Linked DNA regions of Schizosaccharomyces pombe. The gene in region 1 interacts genetically with each later gene. Each region holds a gene or a part of one and is shown on either strand. Other genes may lie near its edges.

Region 1 (4,791 bases):
CTAGCCGCACGTGAGGGTTTAATTGATGAAGGCGAGGAAGAGGAGGAACGAGAAGAAGCTGAATTAGAATTTGTTAGTGATGATGAAGATGAAGAAGAAATCTCTGATTTGGAAGATTGGCTCGGCTCAGATCAGTCCATGGAAACTTCAGAGTCTGAAGAGGAGGAAAGCTCAGAGTCTGAATCCGATGAGGATGAGGATGAGGATAACAAAGGAAAAATCAGGAAACGTAAGACCGACGATGCAAAGAAATCCAGGAAGAAGCGCGCTCCTCATATTCATATTGAGTATGAGCAAGAACGTGAAAATGAAAAAATACCTGCTGTTCAACATTCTTGGTAAAAAAAAAAAAAAGGTTTTGAATGTTATCTTTTTTTAAGGGATTCTGTTCAATAGTTTTTACTTTGTCGTTTTTATTTTGGATTATTTAGGTGTATAGATATGAATGGTTTTAATAATAAGGAATTTATCGGAGCTTTTACAAACAAAATTAGCTTTAATGTATCCTTGCTTTATTTTATTACTTGTGGCATAAAAGCGTTAGATATAAATAATGCTATACTTTCGGGAAACTGAACAAATTGACTGGAAATTTAAGTATTAAAAAGTGAAGATTTTTAGTTTAGCGGGTTTCAAGATGTTGAATCCTGGATCGTAGAACAGCAATTTGTTCACGCAGTCGCTGATTTTCATCCATTATAAGTTTCATTTGAGTTTCAACATCCAAGTGGTTTGTTGATACAATATTTGATATATTTGGCATTGAGACTTGGTTAGGTAATAATAGTCCACAATTGAGAACTTCCAGAAGTGATGGTCGCTTCGTGGGGTCTTTGGCTGTCATCCATAAAATTAAACTTGACTCACAAATATGTTGCTCAACGAACTCTTCAGGAAGATTTCCTCGACGAAGGTCTTGAAGTTTTGTTGCACGTTCCATATTTGTTTGAAACGGGTGCAACAGCTCAAACAAAACCATTCCTAATGAGAATGTATCGATTTTTTTTGTAAATTTATTATGCTGAGAAGACATAGCATCTAGCAATTCCGGAGCCGCGTAAGTTGCAGTGCCTATATGCTGAGTCTCATCTTGCAGATTAGGCAAGTGGTTTCGTTCAAGAAAAGAAAGTGCGGTTTCTGTGTTTTTTTTATTTTCAACAACGAGTCCAAAATCACCAATCTTAGGAGTAATGTATTCTTTCAAATCGTTTTTATCATTATAACTAATTAAAGGAACAGACCCACGGTCCTCCGGTAAAGATTTAGCAAGAAATATATTGCTGGGTTTGATATCTCGATGGATCAAGTTCACACCTTCATGTACGTACATAACGCCATTAATTATCATTCGGAATAAATCCGTATGCAGTTGTATTTGTTCCTTACATAGTGGGAATGAAAGAAAATGGTTTCTTCTTATTAGATAGGACTCTAGATCATCAAAGCAAAGCTGCATTTGAATATAAATAATAAAAGAATGAGTGGGTCCAGTTTTAGATATGTGCATGCTACTAGAATAGTCGTCATCCAAGATGGTGGTATTATTAAAAGTAGAAACATTAGAGTCATGAAGATTACGAGGGCTTTCTAAATTCTCAAAGTTAGAAGATTCAGTAGTGCTTGAGTAGCTAGATTTTCTGGAAGTTGAAATGATCGACTCGGTGCCAGGATCTTCTGCAAATAGTATATCGTCTGTAAGGGCAGAAGATTCTGTTGGTTCAAAAATTATGGAGTCCATTCCGTTGACATCACAATAGCTTGAGGTTCCAAGTACTCTACTAGAATTTTTAGACATTACTATCGGCATTTGTGTTGCTTCTGTGGTGCTTTCTACCCAGCTCGAAAAGTATCGACTAAGCCGATGTTAGAAATAATAAAAGGAAGGCGATGAAAACAAGTCCTTCTGATGATGCTTACATAACATTTGGATGATCCATTTTTGCTAGACATTTGATTTCTCTAAATATTTTGGAATAAGACATTTGCTGAAATGTTGAATTAATTTTCTTCATTGCGTATTCAGCACCGTCAATCTTATTTCGTACGTGATATACTGATCCAAATCCACCTCTTCCTAGTAAAGAATACTCCTCAAAGTCCTCTATGTAACGAGAGTTTCTTGACTGTAACCAACTCTCAAGCGTAAGATCACGGAATCGGAACTGTCTTACATTTAATCCATCTACAGAGAATTTCGAAAGAGCAGTTTCTTGTGGAAATTTTTCAAATACATTGGTGGGATCGGGTAGTGCTAAAAGTCGCTCTTCAGCATCGTCGAGACGGATTGCCTCACGCGCTTGCAGAATCAAATGGTGTAAAGCATCCTGATAATTGGATCTAACGGCTGCAAGTTCTTCAATATATTCTTCTTCCAAAATACCTATTTTTTGAAGAGTATGGCAAATTAAAGCAAAAAGTCGTTTGGACTTGGCAGGATTATTGTCATACAGTTCTTTAATAAGTAAGCAAGTAGTTCACATGAAACGAGAGCTTAGACATACGACAAAAATTTTCCAACAAAGCAGTTAAAAGCATCCGCCCTAATAAATACATTAGCTTAGGTTGTCAATGACCAATATTTTTAGTTCGTCAACTGCTTTATACACACAGTTGTAATTAATTCCTACCATGTTTATTGACAGACAAATCCCTTGATTGTCTTTCATTTTTTAAACTTATTGCATTTGTTGTCTCTGAGTAATTCCCATCTTCCGCTGACTTGTGAGCGTTGAAAAATCGCATATTTGTGATGATGGAAGTGAAAAAGGCATTAAGAAAACAACCAGTTTTTTTCTGCACTTATCAAAATATTTGTCAAAATCCCGTTAATCGCAACCAGCTAATCTCGTATCTTACAATGGAAGGTTAGAGAATTGTTAATGGAAACTTTGTGGTTGACTTTTCAGATCATGAAAGTAACATTAGGAGAATTTAACTCTACAGCTAAAATACATGGTTTCTACTGACTATGGTCGTGTTAACGATAAGTATGTATTTGTACTGTTAAAAATTCAGATAAGTAATTATAATCAGTCTTCTTTTTTGAACTTCTTCATTCGTGAAAAAGCAAGTCAATTTTTAAATTAGCATCGTAAACAGTAAGCCAAAGATACATTTATAATCTAAATCAAAGCAAAAAGAATCCAGCTCGAAACTGAATTTATAAAACCAATTTGTTTAAAGAATTGATATATTTTATTACCAGATAAATGTTGTGGACAGAAATCATTTGAATTATTAATTCATTCATTAGTTTTACCTCAAGATAGTAAGAAGGAAAATTGAAGAGAACGAGCACTTCAAGCTAACTATTAAATTTAATTACATTAGCCAGCATGATGTGAGGAAAAAACATTTTGATTTGACACAATTTAATTTATCATTTCACATTCATAAACAATTCTTTAATTTTTATATTAAATTATACTAAGTAGTAAAGAGCACATGGAATCCGTTGTGGTCCAACGGCTAGGATTCGTCGCTTTCACCGACGCGGTCGGGGTTCGACTCCCCGCAACGGAGTTTTTTATTTTTTCTTAATTTTGATTTTTGATTTATCACTTACTGAATAATTCCAGTGTACTAAAATTTAATCTTCGGTTAAATTTTCTATGGAATGTGTATCTATATTACCCAAAATAATGCGCATTTTTTATAAACATTTGATTAACTGATAATGTATTCAAACTATATGCTTTTAGCAATGGAAATGACAGCAACTTATGCAGCGCAAATGAACCTAGAAAAGATTGAAAGCAAATAACAATTAACACTTAAAATCTAAAAAATTAATCTAAAAGGATTTATTATTTAAAACTTAATGACTGACTAAAATAATAAGTGAGGCATTTACCTGTCTCAACTCTTTTTGTGGGATTATACAACATGCAACTATAGGCATGAATTTAAAAAACTAATCCTTTTTCTCCTTTAAAGGTAAAACACGCTCTTTTACCCACCATTCATGCCATCTATTATCGGCGGTCAGCTCGGGGTGAAACGATGTACCTAAAAAGGGACCTTGCTCAACCGCAACAATCTCTTTGTTGCCTTCATGAACAATAGTAGCTAAAACATTAATATCATCAGACAGGATTGTCGAAGCGACTGGAGCACGAATAAAAGTGGCCGAAAAGGAATGTAAAGGTTCAGTGGCTTCAAATTGCATTGACTCTGTAACTGTAATATCAGTTGTAAAAGACATAGTTTGAGGTCCAAAATAATTACGAGTCACTTCAATATCCATGGCGCGCAACAAATAAGGATCTGGGAACTTTCCACCTCGAGACTTTTTCGACAGAAGAATCATACCAGCACACGTTCCCCAAATAGGAAGTCCTTGATCAACCAAGTGCTCCAAACGATCACGAAGCTTCTCATCAATGTTGATTAATTTGCCAATGGTAGTAGACTCACCTCCTGGGATAATTAAGCCATCAATATTTTCGCAATCCTTAGCAGTTTTAACAGGAAAAGAAATTACTCCATCAATGGAATTCATTATATTAATGTGTTCAATAAATGCTCCTTGGAGAGCTAAAACTCCAATTCTAGCCTTCAACTGGGATTCGTCCACAGCATTGGTTTTAAGACTCCCGAACATGGATGCAGAAGACATTTTTTTAAAGTTTTTAATCGACTAGAAACGAATAAAAAAACAAAGAAAGTTTGAAAGAACTAAGAAAAACAAACGAAAGATATCCTGAAACCTATTGAACAAGTAGATGCTGATGAAGATTGATACACCCCTTACTAATCAGCAATGAATCACTCAAACCGTTGAAGATGGGT
Region 2 (4,611 bases), 3.1 Mb from region 1:
ACTTATAACGAAGTACGCTACTCTGTATTTAGAAAAAAGGGTGGCCTACCGAGAGTAAAAACAGTCACACACAACACAATTTCCCAAATAGCTGAAAAGGAAACCTGCGCAGAACAAACGAAAAAAATCTAACAAAAATGGCTCAACGAGTTACCTACCGCCGTCGCCTTGCTTACAACACTCGTAGCAACAGAACCAGAATTATCAAGACTCCTGGTAACAACATTCGCTATCTTCACATCAAGAAGCTTGGCACCATTCCTCGCTGCGGTGATACTGGCGTCCCTTTGCAAGGTATTCCCGCTCTGCGTCCTCGTGAGTTTGCTCGTCTTTCACACAACAAGAAGACTGTCCAGCGTGCTTATGGCGGTTGCTTGAGTGCCAATGCCGTTAAGGATCGTATTGTTCGTGCCTTTTTGATTGAGGAACAGAAGATTGTCAAGCAAAAGCTCAAGCAATTGTCTTCTCAAAAGTAAAAAGCTGATTGACCGATTACTTTTTACTGTTCCCTAATTTACTTGGATTTCTTTAAGTGGAATAAGAATCTTTTCGGTGCAAATATTTTATTAACTTGTAGATGGTGGTATTTACAAATAATCGTATCGTAGACACAAGGCTTAATTGTAGTAAGGAAATGCAATTTTGTGAGTAAGTAAGTGCATGCTTTCATAGAGTACACTGCTATTGAATTTTGTATGGTTCTGAATAGCGCATATAATTTTATGATATTACAAGTAAATTTTTACTATCGTACTTTTCGTAGTCAACAAAATCATAAATAATATCAGTATAAGTTATTCCATTACTTATTCATCTTTGACTAACCCATTGTCTGATCAGGCAAAGCAAATCTAATTCTATGCTTGCAAATGGGGCAAGACACATTATTTACAAGTTTCAATCGAGACATAATGCAAGCATAGCAATATGTATGACCACAATCAGTAGTGTAAGGCGTAGTAATTGCTACGCGTTCATCTCCCCTTTGTACACACATCATACAGAGTCCACATTCTTGAGGAACAGTGGTTTCTGCGGAAGTTGTGTACTCCTTATACTTAATCCACAAAGAAGCAGGGATACGGGTGCAAAAGAGTGCATCTACAAACCCAACTGCTATTTGTTGAAACATTCGAAAACTTCCTAACGAGGAAGTGGAAAGTTCTTGGAATGACCCTAACTCTGGTAATGCTGTCTCTGAGATTAAATAACTCTGCAGCCCATTAATGAAAGTGTTTTTCCCTGACATGGCGGATAGCCCTTTCCAAAGACCTATAACACAAATAATCACATTCAGAAATCTAACTATTTTCCTAACATTAGCTGATAAACGCTTTCGTCCTAGTAGTGCGATTAGGGATTTGCATATAACGAGAGAATAAAGCCATTTTTTTGACTGGTATTTTAAATTTATAAATATTAATTCCAAAAAATGAAGGACAGACTCTTTGGTGGAGGGCCGTAGACCAGCTACAATGAAGCTCAGCTCATTCGTTAAACTGCGAGTTGTTTGAGTTGCAATATCTGCTTCAAGCATCAAGCTCCACCTCGAAGTCGCTAATTCCGACTCTATCATTGTGTTTATATTATTCAGTGCACCAAATATCGAATGAGAAAAAAAAATTTTTAAGTTGCGTATTACTGCTTAAATCAAGCCATTGAAAGTATTAAAGATCTAAATTGATCGTTATTAGACTAAAAATTAATCAATGTTAGAGTATTTTGATAAAAGATAGCAAATTATAGATTTTTAGGGCAATATTACTGGAATGTGGTGAGCGTTGGCGTCAGCTATGCACCTACCCACAGCGTATATCAATGCAACATGTCGATACTAGCGGTACGCATTCTTCCTTGCCACTTATACTAATAGGTCTTAGGGGTTTAAAAACTTGTTAAAGCATTCGAAAAGCTCAAAGGGGAGATCGAATGCTTCAAAGTCGGTTGATGTTAGTGTAAACAGGGACGTCGCCGCTTATACTGAGCTTGCTGCCAAAAATGTCAATGCCGGTGGGGATGAAGAAATAAGAGTCGCTAACTACCCTGGTCTTGAAAAATATCAGTTAATTGAAAATTTAGGAGAGTAAGTTATGTCCAAATTTCTTTGGCGTTTTTTATTATAGTATGATCATTTACTGACCCAAAAAGTGGTGCTTTTAGTCAAGTTTATAAGGCGTATTCCATTGATCGAAAAGAGCACGTGGCAGTTAAAGTAATAAGAAAGTATGAAATGAATAAAAAACAGGTATGTAAATTATTGAAATTAATGACTTATTTATTGAAATTTGAGAGGGATTTGGGTTTTTGGAGTCTTCATCAATTTTCAAAAGAAAGGGTTGAATAATAACGTCTCAGCATGAAGACATAGTTTTGTGGCTATACTTGGCAAACTACAAAGGCCTTGTGCAATTTTTTGACATGAATGAGAATGAGTTAGTGAAGCTAGAAATCATTATTCGCACATTGTATTATGAAGTTGTTGTTGCCCATTCCCCTTTCAAATATTCTATCAATTATTTTATTATTGTTTATCTAACTCTTTTTCAGCGGCAAGGTGTATTTAAAGAGGTTAACATTATGCGTCGTGTTAAGCACAAAAATGTGGTCAATCTTTTTGACTTTGTTGAAACAGAGGATTTTTATCACTTAGTTATGGAGCTTGCTGAAGGAGGTGAGCTGTTTCATCAAATTGTTAATTTTACCTACTTTTCTGAGAACTTGGCACGACATATAATCATTCAAGTGGCAGAAGCTGTTAAGCATCTTCATGACGTTTGTGGAATTGTTCATAGGGATATCAAACCAGAAAACTTATTATTTCAACCAATTGAATATCTCCCATCTCAAAATTACACCCCACCGAGCTTAGAACCAAATAAGCTTGATGAGGGCATGTTTCTTGAAGGTATTGGAGCGGGCGGTATTGGAAGAATACTGATTGCTGATTTTGGATTCAGCAAAGTGGTTTGGAATTCTAAAACCGCAACGCCTTGTGGAACAGTTGGTTACGCTGCTCCTGAAATTGTCAATGATGAGTTGTATTCTAAAAACGTTGATATGTGGGCGATGGGTTGTGTTCTTCATACGATGCTATGTGGGTTCCCACCATTTTTCGATGAAAATATAAAAGATTTGGCTTCTAAGGTTGTTAATGGTGAATTTGAATTTTTATCGCCTTGGTGGGATGATATTTCCGACTCTGCTAAGGATCTAATTACCCATTTACTCACTGTAGACCCTAGAGAGAGATACGATATTCACCAGTTTTTTCAGCATCCCTGGATTAAAGGAGAGTCAAAAATGCCTGAAAATTTTACGTATAAGCCCAAACTTCATGGCACGCCAGGTGGACCGAAATTATCCCTTCCACGCTCGCTCGTTTCTAAAGGTGAGATCGATATACCCACGACACCTATCAAAAGCGCTACTCACCCTCTTTTAAGTTCTTATTCGGAGCCAAAAACACCCGGTGTATCATCTGTACATGAGGCAATGGGTGTTGCTTATGATATTCGTCGCTTAAATCATTTGGGATTTTCACCTGAACAATTAAGCAAGAAGTCAATGAATACTGGCTCTATCAAAGAACTCATTTTAGATGAAGAAACTACTACCGATGATGATGACTATATCATTTCTAGCTTTCCTTTGAATGATACTTTGGGAAGTGAAGGTAAGGATCCATTTTCTTTAAATTTGAAGGAATCTTCTTTATACTCGAGGCGATCTGCTAAACGTGTTAATTGAACAAACCTTCTTTTATATCCTTCCTTTTGGCTCAAATCTAGCTTCCAGTTTACAAGCTGATGGTTAGAGTTATCTCTTTTGGCTCTTTTCATCTATCGTCATTGTTATTATTATATCATTGCTGTACACTGTGCACGACTGCTATTTATTTTTTCTAGAGTTTTTAAGTCGTTTGGCATTTATTTGTTTTCTCTAAGCGCACCGGCCACGCCAACATGATGGCCCTACATTCTTTTCTCTATGTTTAACTTTCAAGTTTTAGTTTGATTCTCTTTTTAGTGTTCTATCTTTGTTTTAGTCTTTCAATTGTTAAAGCATTAAGTTTTATTTGTTTACATTCTAGTTTCTACATTACACCTTTTCCATTTATACATTTTCAAAGTAATATAATACCATTTAAAGATGAAAATTTAATTTAACAGTAAAGTATGTATTAATATTTTCTTGGGTTAAAGGATACTTGTTTGGAGAAGAGAATTTCAAAACTATGCAGGCATTCGTAAAAAAAAAAGTAAAAATAGAATCTAAAGAATGTATACACGCAATAATTGGTATGGTACATAGCATGAGCATTTTGACGATAATGGATGTTAAATCGTCAAAAGATGAGAGAGCGGATTGGTTTGTATTATATCTTGCTAAAGGTTTTGGAACTCCGTAGCGAATCGATGATTAGAAAGGAAGTAGAAAAGACGTACCCAAAGATTCCTATAAAACACAATCCATATTGGTTTTATCTTGGCGCGGATTGCTTATTAAAAAAACTACCTAAATAGTAAAACGTATCGGAAACGAAACAATGCTGAACAACGATAATCATCCCAAAAAGAAATAAAGCATATATTAAAGTGAGCTTCTCAGTTG

What was found.
Region 2: of hri2 (region 1) and cmk2, a mutation in one rescues a mutant of the other (synthetic rescue), as found in Schizosaccharomyces pombe (one study listed by BioGRID).

What each region holds. Positions count from the first base shown.
Region 1 is NC_003424.3:953,733-958,523, forward strand, and holds hri2 (eIF2 alpha kinase Hri2), read right to left. Parts: upstream 2,879-4,791; 5' UTR 2,743-2,878; coding exon 2,628-2,742; exon of another isoform or gene 2,541-2,627; coding exon 2,502-2,540; exon of another isoform or gene 2,453-2,501; coding exon 1,918-2,452; intron 1,854-1,917; coding exon 623-1,853; 3' UTR 547-622; downstream 1-546. Other genes in the region: nuclear HMG-like acidic protein Mak16, read left to right, coding at 1-342; sno1 (glutamine aminotransferase subunit), read right to left, coding at 3,914-4,618. UniProt on the Schizosaccharomyces pombe protein: Mediates down-regulation of protein synthesis in response to stress conditions by the phosphorylation of the alpha subunit of eIF-2 (tif211) on 'Ser-52'. Protein synthesis is inhibited at the level of initiation. Activity is inhibited in the presence of heme.
Region 2 is NC_003424.3:4,089,294-4,093,904, reverse strand, and holds cmk2 (MAPK-activated protein kinase Cmk2), read left to right. Parts: upstream 1-1,805; 5' UTR 1,806-1,825; coding exon 1,826-1,840; intron 1,841-1,880; coding exon 1,881-2,083; intron 2,084-2,148; coding exon 2,149-2,245; intron 2,246-2,547; coding exon 2,548-3,747; 3' UTR 3,748-4,111; downstream 4,112-4,611. Other genes in the region: rpl3401 (60S ribosomal protein L34), read left to right, coding at 138-476; rnf170 (ubiquitin-protein ligase E3), read right to left, coding at 821-1,576. UniProt on the Schizosaccharomyces pombe protein: Has a role in the regulation of G2/M transition during the mitotic cell cycle.